Canis lupus familiaris: one gene and its partners. The protein of the gene in region 3 purifies or fractionates together with the protein of the main gene of each other region. This does not show direct contact. Links are inferred from orthologs where the notes say so. Each region holds a gene or a part of one and is shown on either strand. Other genes may lie near its edges.

Region 1 (6,115 bases), on a different chromosome or scaffold from region 3:
TCTATTATATCCAATTGGTTCCTTGACATCACCTCTTAGATATCTATCAGATGTCTCAAGCTTACTAAGTGCAAAGAGAATTGCCCCAAACCTAAATAGACTTGTCTTCCTTTCCAATAGATGGTATCATATACTCTCTTCAGTAACTCAAGCAGTTCAAGTCAGGTATCTAAGAGTCACCCTTGATGATCTCTCCCTTTCCTACGAAATGGTTCTGGTTCACTCTCCCAGAAAATGCTAATTCTACTTGCAAAGTATATACTGAATCTGCTTCTTTACATCTCTACCATGACTACATTAGTCCAAGCCACTTAGACATCTGCAATAGCCATCCTGCTCATCCCTGCTTCTATTCTTGACTCCCTAGTGTCCATTTTTCACCTGAGAGCCAGTTATCTTTAAAAATGTGTATCAGATGTCAACCCTCTCCTCTGCTTTAAATCCTAATGACATTCCACTGTTGACAGATGCTACATGTTGAATGCTGGTGTCCCCTTAAAATTCCTATGTTGAAAAGCTAATGCTCAAGGTGATAATATTAGGAGGTGGTGCCTTTGGGAGCCAATTAGGTCACGAGGGTGGTTCCTCATGAATGAGATTATTGCTCTAATAAGAGGCCCCAGGAGCAAGTGGGTAGCTCAGTGGTTGAGTGTCTGCTTTTGGCTCAGGGCGTGATCCCAAGGTCCTGGGATTGAATCCCGCATCGGACTCCCCTCAGGGAGCCTGCTTCTCCCTCTGGCCATCTCTGCCTCTCTCTGTTTCTCATGAGCAAATAAGCAAAATCCTAAAAGTAAAATAAAAAATAAAAAAAAAATTAAAAAATAAAATAAAATAAAAATAAAAATAAAAATAAATAAAATAAAATAAAATAAAATAAAATAAAATAAAATAAAATAAAATAAAAAAAGAGATCGCGCCAGACCTGACTATGCTGGCACCCTGATCTTGGGATTTCCAACCTCCAGAACCATGAAAAAATATATTTCTGTTGTTTACAAGTTGCCCTGTCTGTGGTATTTTGTTAAGGCAGCTCAAATGGACTAAGAAAACAGAATAGAACTCAAACTTCTCATGTCCTTCTAGCACCTACCCACTACTTTCCTTCACTGATTATGCTCTAGCTCATTGATATTTTTGCTTTTTCTGGAACATACCAAACCCCTTCCTATCTCTAGGCTATGTATTGACCTGATTTCCCTCATCTTGGAAGGCTACTCCCCAGCTTGGTAAGCCCATTACTATCTTCGGGTCTGGGCCCAAATCTTCCCTCCTGTGACTACCCTTTCTAAAGCAACCTCCAGGTTATTCATTCTCATTGACTACTTGGAGTCATTATCACAATCTTTAATGTTTATCATTTTGCTTATCTCCTCACTAAAAGGTCCATGAATGAAAGGATAATGTCTGCCTTGTTCTCTGCTAGAACCTTGGCATCTGGCATAAAGTAAGTGTTCAAAAGACATCTGAATGAATAAATTGAAAGAATTTTACTTTAGGGGCACCTGTGTGGCTCAGTCAGTTAAGTGTCCAACTCTTGATTTTGGCTCAGGTTATGTATGACCTCACCATTCTGAGACCAAGCCCCATGTTGGGCTCCACACTGGGCATGGAGGGCATGGAGCCTGCTTAAGATTCTCTCTCTCAGGCAGCCCTGGTGGCTCAGCGGTTTAGCGTCGCCTACAGCTCGGGGCATGATCCTGGAGACCTGGGATCGAGTCCCATGTCAGGCTCCCTGCATGGAGCCTGCTTTTCCCTCTGCCTGTGTCTCTGCCTCTCTCTCTCTCTCTCTCTCTCCTCTCTGTGTATTCTCATGAATAAATAAATATAATCTTAAAAAAAAAAAAAGATTTTCCCTCTAAAGAAACATAAATTTAAAAAAATTCTTTTTAAATTTTTTTCCCAAGAGAGAGGGTAGGAGGCGCCTCTAAAAGAATTAAAAACAAACAAACAGTTAAGCTGCTCGCTAATACTATGACCTGCAGTAAACCCGATTCACCACAGCAGGCTAAGCATGGAAGGACAGAAGGGGGGATGCCTGGGTGGCTCGGTGGTTGAGCGTCTGCCTTAGGCTCAGGGGGTGATCCCAGGGTCCTGGGATGGAGGACCTTTGTCTCTGCCTCTCATGAATGAATAAATAAAATATTTTACAAAAGTGGGGAAAAAAAGGACAGAAAAGAGGTATGAGGGAAGATACTCAATTCTTAAACTAAGACGAAGAAAGGATAATGTCACACATTTCATCATGAAGCAGGGGAGCAGACTATAATAATTAAGTTTTCACCTTCTGTACCAAGCAGCCAGCACTCATGGCCTCTCCACCCCCTCATTTTTCCTGAAGGAGGGGGAAGGCTCTGTTCAGGACTCACCAGCCATCACGGAGTAGTTGAAGTGTTCTGCTGCAGGATCTAGGTTCACAACTTGGACAGACCGATTGAGGGCTTCACAGTGTTGGACCATAGTGGCACAGTAGGTGCTCTGTAATGTCACAAGGCATCATGGGGTCAAAGCAATAGGCAGTGTAGTGCTACCCCTGCACCCCCAAAATGGATACCCTATATCCCTTGGTCGGTGTCCACTGAGGCCAAAATTATGCCTTCATTGATCAAAAAGCCGACTGAAAACAGGTACTAGGCTGGCAGTCAGGACATCTGACTGGGCTGTAGATCCAGACCTGGCTGAGACTCAAGAGTAACTTTAGTGAAAGCGCTTCTCTACTTTTCTCTTCTTTTTTCTAGAGACTTTATTTTTAAGGAATCTCTACACCCAACATGGGGCTCAAACATAAAAAAAGAAAGTATTAAAGATACACAGGTGTCAAACTGACAATTTCACTTCAATGCAAACTGAAAGAATTGAAAAGGGAGTAATTTTCTCAATTTATGATCTCTAGAATTTACTGACCTCAATCAAGACTCACATTCCACCAAATGAATCAGCCAGGAGCCTTACCCCTGGTTTTCTCTACACCCAACATGGGGCTCAATCAATATACGATCCAATGTTCACTAATGTTAGGCCATGTACCTCCTAAAATCGCCTCAAAGACCAGAAGTCCATGTTTCAAGCTCTGAGAAACTGACTTAATGAGACCTCACCTGAACTTTCTATGAGCGAGACAGGAGCGGATTCTGGGATTACACACAACTGGATTCAAATTCCAGCCGCGTGATCTTGGGAAAAGAACTTAACCTTTCCGTGTCTCATTTTCTGTAAAATTCCCATCCGTAAAAATGAGAACAAGACCTATCCTACAACGTTGTTCTGGAAATAAGTTAGGAGTTTAAACGCAGTATCTGGGGCATAAGTATACTCTAAGCATTAGCCACCACTGTTATTTTCCCCACTTTCAAAATCGCAACAAAGAGCGACGAAGCCCAGACTGCAGCAGCGCTCTGCCGAAGGGTCCGCGTGCACGCACCCGCCGGTCCCTCCGTCAGGACCACAGCCCCCCTGCCTCCCACGAGCTCCGACTTTTCTCCTGTTCTAACGCCAAAGCCTCACCTTCCCGCTTCCTGCCGGGCCCATGACCAGCTGCGCGTACCGAGGCATGCCGGCGCTCCTGGGGCCGGGCTGGGCCCGCCACGCCTCACGGAGCCCGACCGGCCCGCTCCCTTCAGCCTTCGCGCGGCGCTCACTGACTTCCGGGAACACCACGTGACCACCAATAGCAACCCACAGTCCTTTTGCGCCCTGCGTTGTTACATCCCTGGCTACGGAGCGTCCCGCAGATCAAATCTCGTGTGAAACCCGTTCTCGGGAAACTTCGGCGTGGGCGGGGCGGACCGGGCAGCGGTTAGAGTGTGCGCGGAGGTAGTGGCGGAAATCGGCGGTTGGGACGCTGGAGAAGCTTGGTTGCCTTGGAGATAACGGCTAACGGCTCGCACTCCGCATCCCTGCGCCGCGGACTTCGGTCCTCGGTTCGCGTACGAACGTCTCACCTATCTGGCGACACCCAACGTTTGCAAAGCTGTTAGAGGGCCGGGAATCCTGAGGTGGAAGGCACCTCCTGTTTTAGAGGGCGTGTATGTTTCCTTCCCGTGGAAGAGGACTCATCCCCTCCACAAAACGTGCAAGCGCGCAACCCTCTAGAGAGTTCCTGCCCCTCCCCTCTCTAATTCCAGCGTCTGGTCTCTGCCCTCCCCGCTCTCCCGAAGCCGTTCGGGCAGTGCCCGGAGCGCCTCGGCGGGGGCTAGAATCCGGCGTCCGCGGGTGCACCCCCAATAGCGCCCGGCCTGACGCACGCGTGCTGCCGGGGGAGGGGAGAGGGGGAGGCTGCTTCCGCACACCGCTCGAGGTCCGGGCGCCGGGGCGGAGATGCCCGGCCAGTGTCCGGTGCCCGACTGGACGGCATGCGGCTCTTCCGCGGACCCAACCGCAGTGGCCGGGACCGAGGGTGGCGGCGGCGGGTGAGGCTGAGGGGCCCTGAGGGGTGAGGGAGGACGCCGACCGGCCCAGGTCGTGGTCCCCGGCGGAGGAGGGGGTGGGAGCCGGCTGCTCCCGTGGCCTGACCCCCCAGTGCGCTGAACTGAGAGGAAGGGGGAAGCTCTGTTGTGGCCGGGGTGGCACACATGGAAGCCGCCTCGCTGTTTACGGGAAGGGCCTGTGAGGTAAGGCCGAGCGTTGGTGCAATGACTAAACGCCGGGACTGCGACAGTTGCCTGCGTGCGTCTTTCTGCCCCGAGGGGGCGCTGCGAAACCTGCTGGAAAATGCCGTCTGGCCACAGGATCTCTACAGAAAGAGGGGGTTGGGGGGCACGGCAGAAACAGGTTCGAACGAGGCTTTCCAAGTCAATAAACCAGTTCTGTGGGTGTCACGTTGGCCACTTTTATGTCCAGGGGATTCATAATGACGATGAGACAGATAATTATGAATATTACGGGTACGTTGATCTTGATGTTTTCTTCCCACTGAAGTTTTTCTTCATAAATCCATTTTATTTTGAGAAGGCTCTTTTAGTATAGTTCCTGGATGCTGAAGACAATTAGTCTTCAGTACCTTCTCATCCCTTCCATCAGTTATTACCTGAAAGAGCTTCAGGGTGTACCTTTCCAAAAGCACACAGTCATGGCTCCTGCTGCACCCATGACCATTTATTTATATGTGTGTGTGTATATACACACACACACACACACACACCACACACTCATACATATGGAATGTGTATATACATAAATGTATACATATATACATCATGTATATGAAATATATATAGGGAATGAAACATATATATAGTGTTTGAAGGCTTCTTAAAAATGATTTATTTGTCTTAGAGAGAGTGGGTGCGTGCAGAGGGGAGGGGCAAAGGGAGAGGGAGAATCCTCAAGCAGACTCCTCAAGTCTGAGTGTGGAGCCCCAAGCAGGACCACCGAGATCAGGACCTGAGCCCAAATCAAGGATCACCCACTAACCATCTGAGCCACCCAGGCACCCATCAAAGACTTAAAAGACTCTTGTCTTTGCTGTTCATTACAGTGCTTGACAAAGTGCTGGATCCTAGTATCGATGGACACTTGGACATTGAATAAATTTAAGGAAGCAGGAAGCAAGGGTGTTTTGTCTTAATTTGAGAAAAGAAAAAAAGAACTTGTCAAAAATGAAAACATTCCAGATCAATTTATCAGTTCCAGTACACCTTAGTTACATACAGTAAAGAACAAGATAGTCTTTTCCATATCCAGGTTACTTTATTAAAAATAAAGTGAGCAAGAAAATACCACAGATAACACAGAGACGCAAACTACTTTATTGAGCTCAATGTAGGAATTAGATTAAGAGGCTATAAAAGTAAAACCAAACCTGGCTTAAGGTAAATCCCTTCTTGTATGGTAAAAACCTCATATAACTCACTTTTAAAAAGCCTGGAGCCATTAGGCTATAACCAGGATTACAGGAGAAAATTTGCAAAATACTCCATCTAATGGAAACATGAAAAGTAAAAAGCATAGGCAATACTGTCTTTTTTCATTTAAAATACTTTTGTTAATTCTTATAATGCTGTCCATTATTGCATATTATTTAAGTCCTTTTTTTCCTCAACAGATCAGCTGGACATTCTTATTATCACAATTCCAAAGGTATTGGTAAGTAGAGAATATAAAGCAGGTAATACCCACA
Region 2 (5,956 bases), on a different chromosome or scaffold from region 3:
AATAAATGAAGTAAATGAAACGAAAATCTGGTCAACTGCACATCAAGTCCAAAAACAGCCATATCTAGAAAACAAATAAACAAAAACAAAACAAAAAGAACCATATCTTGAACCTGACAACCATAATTAACATTTCTTTCACTGAATTACAAACATTTCTTTCTGATAAACAGAAATTAAAACAATGCAAGTTCTTGATTAATACACAAAATTATGCTGACAAGTATTTATTGACTGCTTACATTGTGTTAAACATTGTTCTAGTTGCTTGAGGATATAGCAGCAAAGAAGACCTAGCTCTGTAATCTGGTGGGGAAAAGATAAACAAAAAAAATATAAACAAATAAACAAGTAATTTCATATACTGAAAATAATGTGAAGTGACGGAAACCAAGTGCAGGGACCACCTGGAATAAGGTTAAATAAGAGAAGGGCCTTTCTGAAGGTAATACACAAGCTTGCATCTAAATGATGCAAAAACAGAACTGGAAGAAGTCTGAGAGGTAGTAGGCAGGGCAGGTGGTGTGGGAACTTGTAAACCACAGTAAAAGAAGTTTAGATCTTGGGACACCTAGGTGGCTCAGCGGTTGAGCGCCTCCCTTCAGCCCAGGAAGATCCTGGAGTCCTGGGATCAAGTCCCACATCAGGCTCCCTGCATGGAGCCTGCTTCTCCCTCTGCCTGTGTCTCTGCCTCTTTCTCTCTCTCTCTCTCTCTCTCTGTGTCTCTATGAATAAATAAATAAATAAAATCTTTAAACAAATAAAAAATAAACACAATTCCTAAGTAATGGATGCCAGAACAAAAAAGAGAGGCAAAGTGACATTAGGAAAACGACAAAGTCTGGGACCATAAGAGAGACCTCCTTCACAAACTTGCCTAAAGCTGACTTAGAAACCAAACTCAAACTAAAATAATCCCAACTGTAAAGAAATATGAAACTAAATGAGGCTTAATGCATAAACTATTTTCACTGTGCCCTTCATCACTCTCCTGAAATTTTATCTCAAAAGGCTTTATTTACCCTGAGATAGATGTTCATTAAATGTAAAGACAAAATGACTACAAATAACTCTTAACAGTTTAGGAAGTTCTATTCCACTAAGGAAAAAAAAGAATCAAGTTTTTAGAAAGCCTAATGCATTTACCTATACAAATTATATATAATGCACTTCAAAATGAAGTATTATCTAACTACAGCAATCACTTTTTCACTCAAGATATCAATACAAGGGAAATAAGCTCAGGCAAGATATCAACAATAGTAGAGGCAGAAAACTTCTGGCTCATCTCTTACTGCTAACTAGAAAAAAACTCTAATTGTCATATGAAATCCCACAAGACAGGTACAGGGACCAACTCAGTCTTGCAAATGATGTAACCATACAGTTAAAGCACCAGAACTCAAAGGTAGGAAACATTAAATGTTTGTATAATTTAGTACTAATGTTTTAAAAAAAAGAGAGAGAGAGAGAGAGAGAGCATGTTCTCAGACTCACAGGAGCATTTGCTACCACTAGTGTGTCAAGCACATTAAAGAACAATCTTTTCTTTTTTTTTAATCTTGAAACCATGATTACAAAGTTAAATGTGGTCACTGTCATCTGATATGGTGGAGTCAAATCCTAACTTCACCCTTTTTCTGTGTAACCTTAAACAATTTACCTAACATTTCTGGGCCTTAGTTTCCTCACCTGTAAATCAATGATTTAAAAAATCTACCTCTGGGGGCGCCTGGGTGGCTCAGTCGTTGAACATCTACCTTGGGCTCAGGTCCTGATCCCAGTGTCCTGGGATTGAGTCCCGCATCAGGCTCCCCTCCCCATAGGGAGCCTGCTTCTCCCTCTGCCTATCTCTCTGCCTCTCTCTATGTCTCTCATGAATAAAGAAATAAAATCTTAAAAAATAATTTAAAAAAATAAAAATTAAAAATCTACCTCTGGTGCCTGGGTTGCTCAGATGGTTAAGTGGCTGCCTTCAGCTCAGGTCAGGATCCCAGTATCCTGGGATGGAGCCCCATGGGGGGGAGGGGAGGAGAGTCTGCTTGAAATTCTCTCTCTTGCCCCCCCCATACCTCTTCCACTAGTGCTCTCACTCAAATCAATAAAATCTTTAGGGATCCCTGGGTGGCGCAGCGGTTTAGCGCCTGCCTTCAGCCCAGGGCATGATCCTGGAGTCCTGGGATCGAATCCCACATCGGGCTACCTGCATGGAGCTTGTTTCCCCCTCTGCATGTGTCTCTGCCTCTCTCTCTCATGAATAAATAAATAAAATCTTTAAAAAATAATAATAAAATAAAATAATAAAATAATATAATAATAATAAAATAAAATCTTTAAAGAAAGATAAAAAATTTAAAAATCTACCTCTTAGAGTTATTTTAAAATATAATGAAATAGATATATTGTAAATGGCAATACACATAACAGATACTTAATATGTGAGCCTTTAATGACTGTTACCGTATTTTATATTGTATGTTCTTTTCCTTTTTTTAAAAAAAGGAGAAGTAGGCTCCTCGCAGGGAGCCCGATGCGGGACTAGATCCCGGGACTCCAGAATCACGCTCTGGGCTGATGGGAGGGGCTCAACGGCTGAGCCACCCAGGCTGCCTATATTGTATGTTCTAATTTTGCTTCTTGGAAAGTAAATATAGGTAATCTTGTCTTGGTCCTACAATCTTTTCAGCATATATTCAAAGTGGCACAAAACATCTCCACCAATAATAACTTTATATACACAAATAGTTTGAAGATTGGGGCCTATGATTTTGTAAGTTTTATCCATCTGTTCCCCAAGACACACAAATCAAAACATTACAAAGACAATGGTAGAAGTGGAATAAGAAGAGTAACTGGATGATGGGTCTCACTGGTAACATGCCATAGGCAAGAAGCAACAAAAGACCTTAAAGTCAAATAGATATATATGGATTTAGGGTTAACCCCTCTTCTCAGCAGGAAACAACAATGATTTTTCCAACACTTACTGCAAAGAGATTTGAAATGTTTTGGAAACAATCCCTGCTTCCTGACAGTTTACTATACCTCCTTTCTGTAGTAAAGAAGCAAAGTGGAAAAAAATCTCTGATGGATACAAAAAAGCAGTAACTTGGGGGGGGGGGGAGTACTATACAGTCAAAAAGCCCATTTCCTGATTTCCTGTTTTACCTCTGAAGGCAAACCCATTTCTTTAAAAAGGTATTTCAAGTGACTGAAAAGTAGCTGGACATGTTTTCATTCTAAGGTACTAATGATGATACCGACTACAGTTATTTCTGGCCAGTATCAAGAAGCCCGTATTTATTTGATTGCAGCAAACTCAGGTACAAGGAAACCTCCCAGGTGGTCGGCTCAGTTCTAAGTAGAGCTCCTGTTACTTCGTAACATTCATCCAAGTAAGGCCCTTCCTATAACACCACGAGTTTTAGGTCAGCGTAAAACAGAGCGGTCCAAAATATTCCAACCAAGTGAGTGGCTCTGCTATTGCTTGAACCATAGCTTGTCCATCATCAAGAAAACCAGAAATTAGCACGTCAAGGCCTCTGTGAAATAAACGGACGCGATAATTTCCGCGAAGGTTCACTAAAGAGAACAGCACCTTAAAAGGCTCTGAAATGAAATAATACCTAAATTTCTAAAGATCTGGGCCCAACGGCCCAAGGTCACACACACCAAGTCAGTTAAGTAGCTGATAAAAAAAAAATTCAAGAAACGATGAGCCTCCTGCAGCTCAGGACAACCCTACCTAGGAATGGAGTCTGGGTTTGGGAACACTCGCGTCAAAGCTTTAATGTGAACAAGGCCAACCGAATGCAGTGGCTCCGAGGGAAAACCCCAGGCGTTTCGGGAAGGATTTCCTCCCATTTCCCCAGTCTCCCCTTCCCTAGTCACCCCCGACACTCACATCTCCGGAGCCACTTCATCCAATGGTAGACGATAGTAGTGTGGTGTTTCTTGTTCTCTATACACCAGGACGACAAGCCTTGAATAGATTCCATGGTGTTAGTTACCGACTGGAATTTTCGATCCAACGAGGACTCCAGAGCCCCTGCCGAAGAGGCCGACGAGGAGGAGGCCTTACTGCTGCCTCCGCCGCCGCCGGCCGCCATCTTCCCGGTTTGCACAAGCGCTGCTGCTCCTCTGGCGGCGGCGGCGGCGGCGGCGGCGGCGGGGCGGCGGCGGCGGCGGGAGCGGGAGCCGGAGCGGGCAAAACAATCACTGCGAGTGCGTGAAAGCCGCAGGTGGGGAGGGAGGTCAGGGGGTGGGGAGGGTACACGCGCTAGGCTCTTCTGGAGGTAGGTGGGGAGGACCAGCTGCTGGGCACGCTGGTGACTCCTACACGCTGTAAGGAGGGGCTGCGGGCATCGAAGGTTTATCAGAATTGTTCAAGGGGTTGTGTTTAAACCAGTCAATAGTCACGGAAGAATTGCGCAGAAAACAGATCCTGCAAAGCCTTTCAAAACGCCTGGCCCCGAAACTAATGGTTTTACACTCTTCAGCTCTCAAAGCTAAGGCTCGTCCCCACTCCTATCGCCACACTCCTGTAAGGGTAGGCGTTAATACCTTAAATTTAATACTATCCGATTGCCCCTTCAGTTGCAGAATCTTTCTCCTTTAGGTCCTCTAGCACAGAAAAGGCCCAAGGCTACCTAGTCAGGATTTTTTTTTTTGCAACGCAATAGCAGCAAAGGGACAGCAACAGTATCGCGCACGCGCTGCTTCGCCCCGCCTCCCCGCTTCCTTCACAACCTAGAAAGCGGAGGAGGCGTGATGGCGGGGCGGCCTGGCCAATCAAAGGACAAGAACGAGAAGCGCGCGCAGAAGGCTGCAAGTCCCAAGGACCAAGGAGGCGCTACGATTATTTGTGCGCCTGCGCAGCAGACCGGCGTGTAGCGGGCTAGGAGGAAAAACCGGAGGAAGGGTGAGGGAATTGGTCAAACTTAGGAGAGGTTGGGGGAGGGGCTTCACCGCTCTGTCCTGCCCTTAACTTCCTAGCGAGGTCCCCCTCTTGGGGCTGTCCAGCTCCCACAACAGGCCGGGAAATTCCCACCGCTCAGAGGTTACTGTTACTTTCTGGTAGCTGCCGCCGCCGCCGCTAACTCCTTGGGGCACCGACGCGCGACAAAGTGGCTGGCAGCCATCTTGCAGTGTCTCAAAAGGTGCGCATGCGCCAGCTCCAGTGAGCCGTTCACTACGCAGACTCCCAGACCAAACAATATTTTACACTCCCCTTGGACGATACCATTCATAGCCAGTAGGTTCTTTAGATGTGGTAAGAGGAAGTAAGTGAAGCGAAAAATTTCCTAGCAAAATTTTCGAGACGAGGAAAGAATAAAAAGCAAGATGTGATCTCACCTTCGCCGGTCACTATGGCATAATACATTATAGTTTACAAGAGTCCTGGCTATTCTATTGATAGGCACAACCTGGATGAACAATTCCATCGTATCTGCCTATGTAAATCCTCTGGACAGATTTGGAGGCTCATGTGTTCCACTGAGCACATGCAATTATTTAAGTCTTTTACCTCTCCCCGATGGATTCATCGCTTCTTGAGGCAAGGAACATGTTTTGTGAAGCTCATCTCTAGTATTCATTCATTCATTCATTCATTCATTCATTCAGATAAAAGTTCTTGAATGTTTTGTGTCAAGTACAGTTCTAGACATTGGTAAGTATAACAGCAAAACAAAAATCTCCCTGTGGTGCTTAGTTGCAGGAGGCCATAAGCAAATATGTATCAGGAAGTAACAAGTTCTATGAAGAATTCTGAAGCAGTGTAAGGAAGAGAGAGGATATTGTGTGTGTGAGCCTATATGGGAAGGGAAATGGTTTGGTGATCCAGCAAGGCTTCTGGAAGGAAATGACAATATCTGAACGCTGAGAATAAGATAACCAACCAGGTATGGGGAAGGGAGAGAAGAAGGAACAGCAGCTGGCAGAAGGAACAGCCAAG
Region 3 (5,803 bases):
AGTGCTGAAAATACCCCTAGGTTTATACAAGGAAAATGCTGGGCAAAGGTGGGTGCGTATGGGCAGGTAGGTGGAGGTTAAATGGATCATTGTCTTGCAGGCAATTGTGGGTGGGGTTTTGCTGGCTCAGGACTGTCCTTTCTGCTTGAGGGGTAGTTTTGGTTTCCCTCTAGAGATGGTTTGCCCTCAGGGTCTCTGCAGGAGCCCAGAGACTAGCTGGAATGAAGAACTCAACAAAGTTTGAGGTCAAAATGGAGGCAGCCAAAGCCCTCTTGTACCCTGGGAAGCCATTAGGTTCTAAGATGGGGAGTGACATGATTCAACTTGAATTTTGAATACATTACTCTTGGCAAATAAAGATACAAAAAGATGTTCAATATTATTAGTCATTAGGGAAGTGAAAGTTAAAACTACAATGAGATACTACTACACAGTAGATAGAATAGGTAAATAAACCCTGCTAACAATACCAAGTGCTGGGGGATCCCTGGGTGGCGCAGCGGTTTGGCGCCTGCCTTTGGCCCAGGGCGCGATCCTGGAGACCCGGGATCGAATCCCACATCGGTCTCCCGGTGCATGGAGCCTGCTTCTCCCTCTGCCTGTGTCTCTGCCTCCCTCTCTCTCTCTCTCTCTCTCGAATAAATAAATAAAATATTAAAAAAAAAGTACCGAGTGCTGGTGAGGCTACCGGAGTAACCGGAAGTCTTATACCTGCATATGCAATTATATTTTACCATACCACAGAGGCACAATAGGTGTAAAGAGCATTGATAATAGTAAACTGTGGTAAAATAATTAGGAAGAGATGAAGTTAAGATTTTATTTTACTTTTTTAAGAAGTCTCTCTATGTGGGGCTCAAACTCCCAACCCCAAGATCAAGAGTCATATGCTGTACCAACTGAGCCAGCAATGCACCCCAGGAGGTGATGGCTCTTGTAGCTGGTTCTAGCACACCACTGTCCTTAAGATTGCCTTTAAGGGGAGGATGGCTGGGAAAGAAGAGAGGAAAAGTCAGGACTGCTGAGGCCCATTCATCTGCTTCCTTGCCTGATCTTTCTTTTTTTAAGATTTTATTTATTTATTCATGAAAGACACAGAGAGAGAGAGGGGCAGAGAGAGAGAAGCAGGCTCCACGCAGGAAGCCCGATGTGGGACTCCATCCTGGGACTCCAGGAACTCGCCCTGGGCGCCCCCAGCAGGGGCCAAACCGCTGAGCCACCCAGGGATCTCCTTGCCTGATCCTTCAAAAGGGATCCCCATGGAGTTTTAGTGGCAGACTGGTGGGATCAACTATTCCAGGAAATGGACAGTGTCCATACGAACTGGTATGTGACAGTTCTGAGGAAGCAGACGTGAAGTGTCTGTTCTTGCTGTAGGGTGGGTCAGGATCTTTTATTTACAACATAAAAAAAAAAAAAAAACCACCATAAAAACCTTACTCAGGCAACTGGGAGTTTGCTCAAAGCCTTAAGGATTGTCCGGCTCTTAAAAAAAAAAAGAAAAAAGGATTGTCCGGCTCTAGAACCAGCTGCCCTGGCTGAGCCTTACTCATGGGTCTGTCTCATGGTTTCTGCCTCTTTCTGCATGGCCCTTTTATCAGTCAGTCTCAACAGGGAATAGATTGCATTATCACTCCGGTTAATTGAGGGGAGTTTAGCAAAGCGACTGTCTACAAAAAAGTGGGCAGAGTTGAGGGAACAAACCAATCAATTCTCTAAGCCCCCCATGCGTGTGTGTCAGCGGGTTGGGGGGAAACGGGAAAGAGGAGTGCAGTGACTTGGTTTCTCACACCGGAGGGAGGACTGACTCCTGGGCTCTGATTTTGGCTGCTTCATCTCCTAACTACCTGCAGCAAGGAGTGGGGTGCTCCATTTTATTGAACAAATGACTGCATGAAAATCTGGAATGTCCAAATACGCAAGGGTCTTGGAGGTCAGACACTGCACATTTGAATCGTGACCCTCAAGTGACCTCAACTCTCTGAGCCTGGTCCCTCATTTGTAAAGCTTGCCTAGTGGTGTTGCTATGTACATGAAATGAGATAAAGACAGCTCCTTACGATGCTTACTATGTGAAGGCAGCCTTCAAATATTTGCCACACGAATGCGTTCTGCTAAAGCACTGTATTCACGTTGTCTTTTATTAGCTAATTAATTCCGTTTAACAGTATATCGCGCATCCCTCCTAGGCCAGGAAACTGTTCATTTAGAAGAGCCAGCATTTGCGCCGCAGAGGACCTGGGCCGGAAGGGCGGGGCCTCACCGATTTCCCGCCCACGACAGCGATGACCAATTGGGTCCGCGAAGGGAGCGGAGTCCCGCCCACTTGGCGGGGACAGGCCCGGAAGCAGGGTTCCGGGGGCGGTGCGTGTTTCCGGTTGCGTGAGAACCGCGGCTACCACCGAGGCAGTTTGGGTTTGGCTGCTGTCCGGTCCCGGCTGGGAGGATGTTCTATCACGTACGCGGAGCACGGGGTGGCCGCGAGGGCAGGGTTAAGAGGAGGAGCGAAGCGGGGCTCCGGGACGAGGAGATGCTGTTCCTCGTCCTTGCTTGGTCTCCATGCCGCTTTCCCCGCAGATCTCCCTGGAGCACGAGATCCTGCTGCACCCGCGCTATTTCGGCCCCAACCTGCTCAACACGGTCAAGCAGAAGCTCTTCACCGAGGTGGAGGGGACCTGCACCGGCAAGTGAGTCCCGAGTGCTTCGCGCCGCCTGATCTGCAGCCTCTACCCAACTCCTACTCATCCTGCAAGCACCTGCCACCTGCCCCCTGCCCCGGGGAACCCTCTCACCCTCTCAGGCACCCGAGGCAGTCACTTGCTTCCGGCCTGGGTTCCCGAGGTGCCCTCTGGATCGCGAGACTTACTTCAGCAGAGACTGGTCATTCGTTTACTCCGCAGACTTTTTTTTTTTTTTTTTAAGATTTTATTTATTTATTCATGATAGAGAGAGAGGCAGAGACAGAGACACAGGCAGAGGGAGAAGCAGGCTCCATGCAGGGAGCCTGATGTAAGACTCGATCCCGGGATTCCGAGATCACACCCTGAGCCGAAGGCAGGCGCTAAACCGCTGAGCCACCCAGGGATCTCTGGGAATCTGTGTTTTAAGAAGTTCCTCTTAGGTGATTCTGAGGCATCCTCAAGATTGAAGTCTCTTGGCTTAAGGACTGCAGTCTCCTTGGACATTTATTGTGAAACATGAGAGCAGTGTTTGGCATTATAGATACTGATCGGGGATCCCTGGGTGGCGCAGCAGTTTGGCGCCTGCCTTTGGCCCAGGGCGCGGTCCTGGAGACCCGGGATCGAATCCCACGTCGGGCTCCCGGTGCATGGAGCCTGCTTCTCCCTCTGCCTGTGTCTCTGCCTCTCTCTCTCTCTCTCTGTGTGTGTGACTATCATAAATAAATAAAAATTAAAAAAAAAGTTATAGATACTGATCTGTATTCTTCTCCCAACATGAAGTTCTGTGGGCAGGGGTGCCATCTATTTCCCTTTGTGCCGTCCCCTGACCCCCATCATCACTGATTTGTTGTAGATGATTTTATTTTTTTTTATTTTTTATTTTTTTGTTTTTTTTTTGTTGTAGATGATTTTAGAGGCTCTTGCACACACGATGCCTTTCTTTTTTTCATCCTCCTTACAGGTATGGCTTTGTAATTGCTGTCACCACCATTGACAATATTGGTGCTGGTGTGATCCAGCCAGGCCGAGGGTTTGTCCTTTATCCAGTTAAGTACAAGGCCATTGTTTTCCGGCCCTTTAAAGGGGAGGTCGTGGATGCTGTTGTCACTCAAGTCAACAAGGTGAGTCCATACATAGTGGAGGCAGTTGGGTGGCTGCTCAGAAGATGGGGGATGGGTCCCAACTGCTCTTGCTAACTCTGTGTCCTTGGGTAAGTCACTTTTGCTTCAGTTTCTACACCTGTCAAATGGTGCAGAAACCTCCCTTGGGGTCCTGTAAGTCAGTATGAGTTGTCAGCAATAGTAGTCTCCATTCATTGAATACTTATTATGGGTTGGGTAAGGTCCAAAACCTAACGGTGACTAAGGTCATGCTTTTATCCATTTTTATAGAAGCTTACGCCTGGAGAAGTTAGAAGTTGTCTAATGGCCAAGGTCATGTGATCAACAGGTGGTCAGATTGTGGACCGACAAGTGCCAGGCCTTGGCTCTTTAGTGCACTGTATTTGCGTAACTTGAAATGAAATCTCAGCAGAAGAGACATGAAAGCAAATGATACAATTCAGAGTGGATTCAAAATATGAAGAATATTATTAGGAATTAGATAAAGTTGGGAAGCTTAGGTGAATTTGAGGATAAAAGAAAAAGCAAAGTCGAGGTGCCTGCCTGGGTGGCTCAGTCGGTTAAGCAGCCGCCTTCGGCTCAGGTCATGATCCTGGGATGGAGCCCCGCAGCCAGCTCCCTGCTCAGCAGGAATCTACTTCTCCCTTTCACTGTCTATACACGTTTGCTCTCTCTCTCTCTCAAATAAATAAAAATTTAAAAAGAAAAACAAAGTCCCCCATTGTCCTCTTAGGTTGGACTTTTCACAGAAATTGGACCAATGTCCTGCTTCATTTCTCGACATGTAAGTCTGGGCGTGCTGGGGGTGCTAAGGAGAGAAGCCAGTCATGACTCTCTCTGGAAGCACTCCTGTAAAGCTCTGTCTTGCTTTCCTTTCAGTCCATCCCATCAGAGATGGAGTTTGACCCCAACTCCAACCCACCATGTTATAAGACAATGGATGAGGTGAGTGGGGAAGAAGTCCATGAGAAGGACGAAGAATGAGCCCTCCAAGAAATTTTGGCTTGTAGGTATCTGAGTATCCTGTTTACTCTTCCTCAGGACATTGTGATTCAGCAGGATGATGAGATCCGCTTGAAGATTGTGGGGACCCGTGTGGACAAGAATGACATTGTGAGTCTCTTGCCTACCTTCTTACCTGTACCAGGCAGAGCTGGCAGCTGTTGATTTTCTTACCATGCAGGGTTCCTGGGGGTTTTGTTTTCTTCTGCCAGGAAGAGGGGATGGGTGAGCAGAAGGCCTGGGGCTGGGCTAGAAGTTAGTTCTATGCTTGCTTAGGCTCTGTTTCCTTTCTGCCTTCCCTCCTGCAGTTTGCTATTGGCTCTCTGATGGACGATTACTTGGGTGAGTGCCTGATCGTGTGTCCAGGGTTGTTGCCTAGAAAGGGGTGTGTGGAGGCAGGGGGTGGATGTGGGACTTAATGCTCGAGTCACAGATGAAAGAAACTCTTATGACTGTCTGCTTGGAAGATCGGGACCTGTGCCTCATGAGATGGGAAGTGCATGGTGATGGCTGCCCCGAGCCTGAGCCTAACTGGTGTGCTTTTCCTGTCCTTACAGGGCTTGTGAGCTGAGCACCGGGGCCTCCTGCTCTGTTTGGTCCTCATCTAGGAGCTGTGACGGTCATGCTCCGCATATCGTCCAGAAGCCTAGTCTGGTTGCTGTGGGGAGGCAGAGAAGGTTCCTTGTCCACAGAAAATATCTCGTTCTTCTTGATGCTTAGCCACTCCCCAGGTTTTTGACTGTACATTCTAACCATAAAAGGTCCTTGTTCTCATGGAGGTTTCATCTCCTTTCTTTGGTAAGAACAACTCTTTCTTTGAAAAGGCTGGAGGCCAGTTGCTTGCTAGCCTCCCTTTTGGTGGCCTGCTGCCTCAAGTAGCCTCAGCTACCCAGGGGATCTGACTATCCCTTCTGCAGAGAGCTACCACTGACTTCAGTGAAGGGAAGGCCCTAATGTTAGGTCTTTGGCTTCTAGCAAATGGCATTGTCATTAGAACCA
Region 4 (5,953 bases), on a different chromosome or scaffold from region 3:
AAATTAATAAATTGGCAGTCTGATTTACATTTTAATCTACTGAGATTTTGTTACTATTGCAGTTGTTGAAAATTCTTATAAGTCTTAATATATTAATAAAATTAGGTTTCTGATTCTGCAAAGTGAGAAGTAGACAGTGGAAGCTATGGTAACCAAACCAAGACTCCGGTTCCCCATGAGAGGGTCTTAGTAGCCACCTGGAATTTTTCTATCTCACAATGTCTCTTTAATGACAATATCATTTACAGAACAAATTTCAAATTAGAATATGGCTACTCTGTAACGTAAAATGAAAACCTCTGAATCCCCAAACTGCAAAAATTGCCTTTTATTAAGACATTAAACAAAACAATACAAAACAAAACCCCACATTCTATGTATGTAATCCTCAGCCAGAAGACATTCACACATTTGTCAAATTTGCAGTTACAGAAATCTTTTAGCAACACACAATTTAATATGCATTATCTCACTTGATTCTTACAACAAAACTAGTGGAAAAGTAAACTGATACTCTGTGCCTCTGCATTCCAGATGAGGAAACTCAGAGTCAATAATTTGTCCAAAGTAAGTCTTTTGATAGCAAATTTAGTTCTTTTACTAGGGCTATACAGATATGATCATTTTATTATTTTTATTTTTTTTAGATATGATCAGTTTTAACACTAATAAATCTACTAAACCGAACTTACTCTGTACTCAAAGTAAGATTTGGTGGGGAGGAGTGGAACTTTCATTGAAATATAAATAACATATACAAAAAAGGTATATGGCTCTTAAGTGAAAAGATCTATGAATTATCACAAAGTGAACACACCCATATAACACTGCCCAGGTCAAATCATTGAAGTTAAATTTTCCTGCATCATTTGACTACCACTGGAATCATGGATGAACTTTAAATAGCCAGTTCCTATGCCCTGTCTTCACTTAAGGGCTCCTGATACTGGCAAATGATTCAAAAAACAGTACTATAGAGGAAAAGGTAGACAGAGTGAACAGGTGAAGCTAATTAAGAATCAATCACAAACTCCAGGGAGGCCTGTGTGAGGCAGTCAGTTTAGCATCCAACTCTTCGTTTTGGCTCAGGCCGTGATCTCAGCCCAAGCACAGAGCCTGCTTGAGTCCTTCTCCCTCTCCCTCTGCCCCTCCCCCCTGCACTCATGCTCTCTTGAGCTCTCTAAAATAAATAAATATTTTAAAAAATCAATTGTGGGATCCCAGGGTGGCTCAGCAGTTTGGCGCCTACCTTCGGCCCAGGGCGTGATCCTGGAGGCCCGGGCTCCCTGCATGGAGCCTGCTTCTCCTTCTGTCTATGTCTCTGCCTCTCTCTCTCTCTCTCTCTCTCATGAAAAATAAATAAAATCTTAAAAAAAAAAAATCAATTGCAAACTCTAGTAGAAGTATATATACAATGAAAATACTATTTCGTTAGAATCAAGTGGCTTGAGGTGCCTGGGTGGCTCAGTTGGTCTGACTCTTGATTTCGGCTCAGGTCATGATCTCAGGGTCCTTTAAGAGTCTCTCTTTCCTTCTCCCTCTGACCGACCCCCCAACCTACTCCCTGCCCACCTCTCTCTCTTTCAAAAAAGCTGAGGAGATACCCTATAATAACTAGTTTGAAAAAAATTTACAAAGGGAGCTTAGCTTATTAAATAATTATCTAAGCATAACACTTTATCCATTACATTAATCCTCACCATGACTTGACGCACAAGCTTAATGGTTTCACTCCAAGGTCTATTTTGGTTAAATTTTGCATGGAGCCGTTCCAAGAGAGAACTCATCTTACTCAGCTTCTCCGATTCTACGATATAAATCAGAAAACATTATTAGAAACTTTCCTTTCCAGACCTTCCACAATCTTTCTTGCAAAAAGAAACTCCCACACTTCAACCTGGTAAGAACTCAGTTGAAATATTTTTCAATACCATTTACTTCAAAACATACAAATTATTTACTTTTAATAACAAAATGACACAGAAATTGGGTTCTAAACTAATGAGCACCACAGAACATAACTGATTTCTATCCAGTCTTTTAATGAAAACCAAAAAAAGAACCACCTCTAACCATGTTTTGGGGTCAAGACTACAAGACTGTTTTGGGGTTAGTGACAAAATCATTTCATGATATGCATGAATCCCTTGCATGATATATGAAAAGCATACATTTGAACATGGCCTTACTTTGGTTAGTTGGTTTTCAATGTGAAATGCAGACTTTGATGTAATTCTAAGAGAACAATACAGAAGTATTATCAAGAAAATAGGCTGTATTTGCCATTTTCATTTTTCCTGTTTGAATTCAAACTAAAACTATATGGATAGGAAATATGTCAATGACTAAAGGATGAGCTTCTAGCAGAGCTAAGAGAAAGGTGGAAAAGTCCTCAGTTTCCTGGGCTATGAGTGAACAAAGATCTTATGCTCTCCAGCCTTCCTAATTTTTATTACTGAATTATAATTTTTATTTTTGAATTTTTGTTATTTTACTACTGAACTATAGCTTTATTTCTATTAAATTTTTTACTTTTGAAATATAGGTGATCCTTCCTCTAATTCTTACACTTCTTAGGACCTGTTCTAGAGACCACTGGCAATGCAAAAACTCAATACACCTGAGATGGTATCTGTGAAGGGGTGTGCGTAAGTTAACGTGGAAATAACCATCACAGAAAGCAAAATGAGATATGCTGTTAAAAACAGACACATTACAATTGAAACACAAAAAAGGAAAATCTCATTATTAGTTGTGGGGAGATTACAGAAAAGGTGACAGTTGATATTGGCATTGAAAGATAAATAATCTCAGCAATCAGAGTTAACGCAGTGACATTTTCTAAATCAAGATTCAAATTCCTTCCTCCAATGTCCTCATCTTCTGGAAAACCGGTTTGGGGACTGTTTCAGCCAGCTTACAGTTCTGGACACATTGTTGGCAATTCCCACTTTCAAGACTCATTCACACATGATTTTATGTGCTGGGGATATAGAAATGAGCAAACTAGACAAAATTCCTGCCTCATCAAGTTTCCATTTTACATTCACCAATCCTCTGCACCCAAGGAGTATACCTTTTTTCTTCCTCTCCTTTAAAATACTCCCCTCCCTTTTCCTTGAGAAGCCTGATGATAAATACTTTACACGAATGATCAAACACTTTTTGTGCCAGGTACTACACAACGATGCGTAAGACAAGGTGCTCAAAGTGGAGAAGATGGGTAAACATAATACAGTGATCCTTATTAACAAAACTATATCCAAAATGCTAAGGAAGCATTTAAGAGTGTAGGACTTTAGAGAATCTAAGTAAGGTTCCACAGAAAAGTTGTTTTTCAGCAGTTGTGAGTTAGTCCAGCCATTGAAAGGATGAAATTCAACGCATTTCATAAACATACAATAGTGTAAGTCTGGACATTGTAACGTTCCATGGAACTACTAGCTTTTAAAATCATAAGGTCCTAATCATTTCATTCACGCCAAAACATTCTCCGATATTTGACACACAGCTCTGTATTTTTTTAATGTCATTATTCAGATATCTCTTCTGAAACGAGGTGTAAGCAGGTTTTAGATTCACTCGCCTGGTCTTCCATCAACTTTAGGCTAAAAACGTTCCGAGGCCCAAGTGATTGTCCCTAGCTATGCAGGAAACCTTCATAGAAGTTGAGAGCCCCCATCACCCGAGACTCAGATCCTTGCATCACCAACGAAGGCACAGTCAGAAGCTATCCCGCCTCCTGGACTCCACGACCTCAGGAGCGTTGCCCCTGCAGAGGCATCGGGCCACCCCCACCCCAGCTCCTCTCACAGATTGGCTCCCCCAAGCTGCGTCCCGCCCCCTGCATTCCCCCTCAAGTCACTCACCCTCGGTTTCCCCCTGAGCCTTCATCCTGACGGTGGGGAGGTCCTGAGTCCTACACAAGAGGATAAACCCTTCCCCACCACTAACGAGGGAACCAAGTTGGTTCGGGCTCCCGGGAGGCAGGGGAACAACCGTCCCCACTCTTCCCGGGAAGGCTCAGTCTGAAGTCCCCGGCGGCAAGAAGAGAAGGGCGCTCCCGGCCGCCGCCATCTTCCCAACGGAACTTCCCAAATATCGCGAGATTAACCGTGATCCTGCGAGAGATAGGAAAAAGGCTGGGCACCAAAATATCGCGAAAAATAGTGAATGCAGTGCTTCTCGCGAGATTCTTCTAATCACGCCTTCCCTTAGCTTTCGGTCACCTGAAGGTTTACTTACTGCTCTCGAGTACCGTGTTTGCCGTCTGCTGGCGCTCAACCTCGCTTCCAAGTGGCAAAGGAGTTCGTAAATTAAAATCCTGGGATCTCTTTACTGACTAGCATTTCAAAGAATATAGGTACCAGAAATATTTTGTTGAAGATAATACGCTGGGCAGCCCGGGTGGCTCAGCGGTTTAGCGCCGTCTTCAGCCTGGGGCATGATCCTGGAGACCTGGGATCGAGTCCCATGTCGGGCTCCCTGCATGGAGCCGACTTCTCCCTCTGCCTGTGTCTCTGTCTCTGTCTCTCTCTCTCTCTCTCTCTGTCTCTCGTGAATAAATAAAATAATATAAAATAAAAGATAATACGCTTTATTGAGATACTAGGTGGAAACATGAAAATGGTATTGGGTCTTTGTAACACAGCGTTCCAAGCCAGCCCAATTCACTTAATTCCCATTTCCCAATTTTTTCCTCAAATTTCAGAAATATTTCTCACGCAATAACGGTTTTTTGGTTTTGGGGTTTTTTGTTTTTTGTTTTTTAAGATCTGGGAGGTTTTAAATTAAGGTAAACTTGTAGCAGTCAGAGCATCGGATGCTTTTAATTATATACTAAGGTGTATGACTACTAGTGTTCCTATCTGGTAATCATAGTAAAACAAGCAGTTTAGCTTGTACTCCACAATACAAAGAATGCGCAGTCCTGTCTCCTCACGTGGAGAAATTTGGAGTAATGATGAGAAGTTTATGGCCACCGGAACTGAAGGACCAGGCTAAAATACAAAACTAGCATTTGGTGGAAGTTCTCGACGTAGTTAAGGCTTGGTTTTGTTTTGTTTTGTTTTTAATGTTCTTTTTCCAAACAAATCTTTGAAAATAGCCGCTGTAAAGTTGGATTTTACCTAGTTCACTGTAAGGATACTAAGTAGTGGATTTCTACTGGCTTTTCAGTCTCAGAATTTCTCCATATTTCAAAAATGCTATTCAAACATCCTCCAAAGCCATTCCAGCAGACAACTGCAGTTCAGGTGAGCAGGCACAGCAGTGTAAATTTAATAAGAACAAATCTTTGTGTTTTTTTTTGTTTGTTTGTTTGTTTTTATGATAGTCACACAGAGAGAGAGAGGCAGAGACACAGGCAGAGGGAGAAGCAGGCTCCATCCAGCGGGAGCCCGACGTGGGATTCGATCCTGGGTCTCCAGGGTCGTGCCCTGGGCCAAAGGCAGGCGCCAAACCGCTGCGCCACCCAGGGATCCCAAGAACAAATCTTTGGAAGCGTCTGGGAACACATTTACTACCACAAAGATATCTATAACTATGCTCTCTGAAGTAGAATTCAAATTTTATTCTTTATCTTTTCCTCTTTACCCTCATTCCTTTAGTCACTACATAGGGAGTTTCTTGGGGGCAGGATTTTGCCTTCATTTCTGAATTTCCACCGCTTACCTACTACTGTACTGGAGCCCAGTAGACAAATGTTTTACTGGGTCTACAAAACCTTCCTAGGGAAAAAAAAAAAAAAACCCTTCCTAGACCCACCTCTCCCGTTGCCAATTCCCAGCCATACTAGCCTTCTTTCTCATGCAGAAAATTGCTGCATTCTCCTCCCAAGTTCCTTGAACAGGCCTTTTTTAACTGCTGGGAGAGTCCTTCCTCTACCTGACTCCTTCACCTCACTAAGGCCTTCTTATTCAGATGTCAATTTTTTTAAAATTTTTTTTATTAT

The links. Proteins that work in one complex are often made in the same cells at the same time.
Region 1: the proteins of POLR2G (region 3) and GPN3 purify together in Homo sapiens (affinity purification with mass spectrometry; 3 studies listed by BioGRID and IntAct, counting the BioPlex papers as one, with this or other methods). This does not show direct contact. The link is inferred for Canis lupus familiaris from reciprocal best matches to the Homo sapiens genes POLR2G and GPN3.
Region 2: the proteins of POLR2G (region 3) and RPRD2 purify together in Homo sapiens (affinity purification with mass spectrometry; 3 studies listed by BioGRID and IntAct, counting the BioPlex papers as one, with this or other methods). This does not show direct contact. The link is inferred for Canis lupus familiaris from reciprocal best matches to the Homo sapiens genes POLR2G and RPRD2.
Region 4: the proteins of POLR2G (region 3) and MED1 purify together in Homo sapiens (affinity purification with mass spectrometry; 3 studies listed by BioGRID and IntAct, with this or other methods). This does not show direct contact. The link is inferred for Canis lupus familiaris from reciprocal best matches to the Homo sapiens genes POLR2G and MED1.

The regions. Positions count from the first base shown.
Region 1 is NC_049247.1:8,518,865-8,524,979, forward strand, and holds the start of GPN3 (GPN-loop GTPase 3), read right to left. Parts: upstream 4,110-6,115; 5' UTR 3,550-4,109; coding exon 3,502-3,549; intron 3,233-3,501; exon of another isoform or gene 3,096-3,232; intron 2,476-3,095; coding exon 2,367-2,475; intron 1-2,366. Other genes in the region: protein FAM216A, read left to right, coding at 4,315-4,406, 6,041-6,081. UniProt on the Homo sapiens protein: Small GTPase required for proper localization of RNA polymerase II (RNAPII). May act at an RNAP assembly step prior to nuclear import.
Region 2 is NC_049238.1:60,242,703-60,248,658, reverse strand, and holds the start of RPRD2 (regulation of nuclear pre-mRNA domain-containing protein 2), read right to left. Parts: upstream 4,110-5,956; coding exon 3,905-4,109; intron 1-3,904.
Region 3 is NC_049239.1:54,435,812-54,441,614, reverse strand, and holds POLR2G (DNA-directed RNA polymerase II subunit RPB7), read left to right. Parts: upstream 1-2,244; 5' UTR 2,245-2,446; coding exon 2,447-2,458; intron 2,459-2,577; coding exon 2,578-2,687; intron 2,688-3,642; coding exon 3,643-3,802; intron 3,803-4,535; coding exon 4,536-4,586; intron 4,587-4,681; coding exon 4,682-4,747; intron 4,748-4,843; coding exon 4,844-4,915; intron 4,916-5,112; coding exon 5,113-5,146; intron 5,147-5,361; coding exon 5,362-5,375; 3' UTR 5,376-5,582; downstream 5,583-5,803. UniProt on the Homo sapiens protein: Core component of RNA polymerase II (Pol II), a DNA-dependent RNA polymerase which synthesizes mRNA precursors and many functional non-coding RNAs using the four ribonucleoside triphosphates as substrates.
Region 4 is NC_049230.1:22,939,626-22,945,578, reverse strand, and holds the start of MED1 (mediator of RNA polymerase II transcription subunit 1), read right to left. Parts: upstream 4,110-5,953; 5' UTR 3,895-4,109; coding exon 3,870-3,894; intron 1,808-3,869; coding exon 1,701-1,807; intron 1-1,700. UniProt on the Homo sapiens protein: Component of the Mediator complex, a coactivator involved in the regulated transcription of nearly all RNA polymerase II-dependent genes.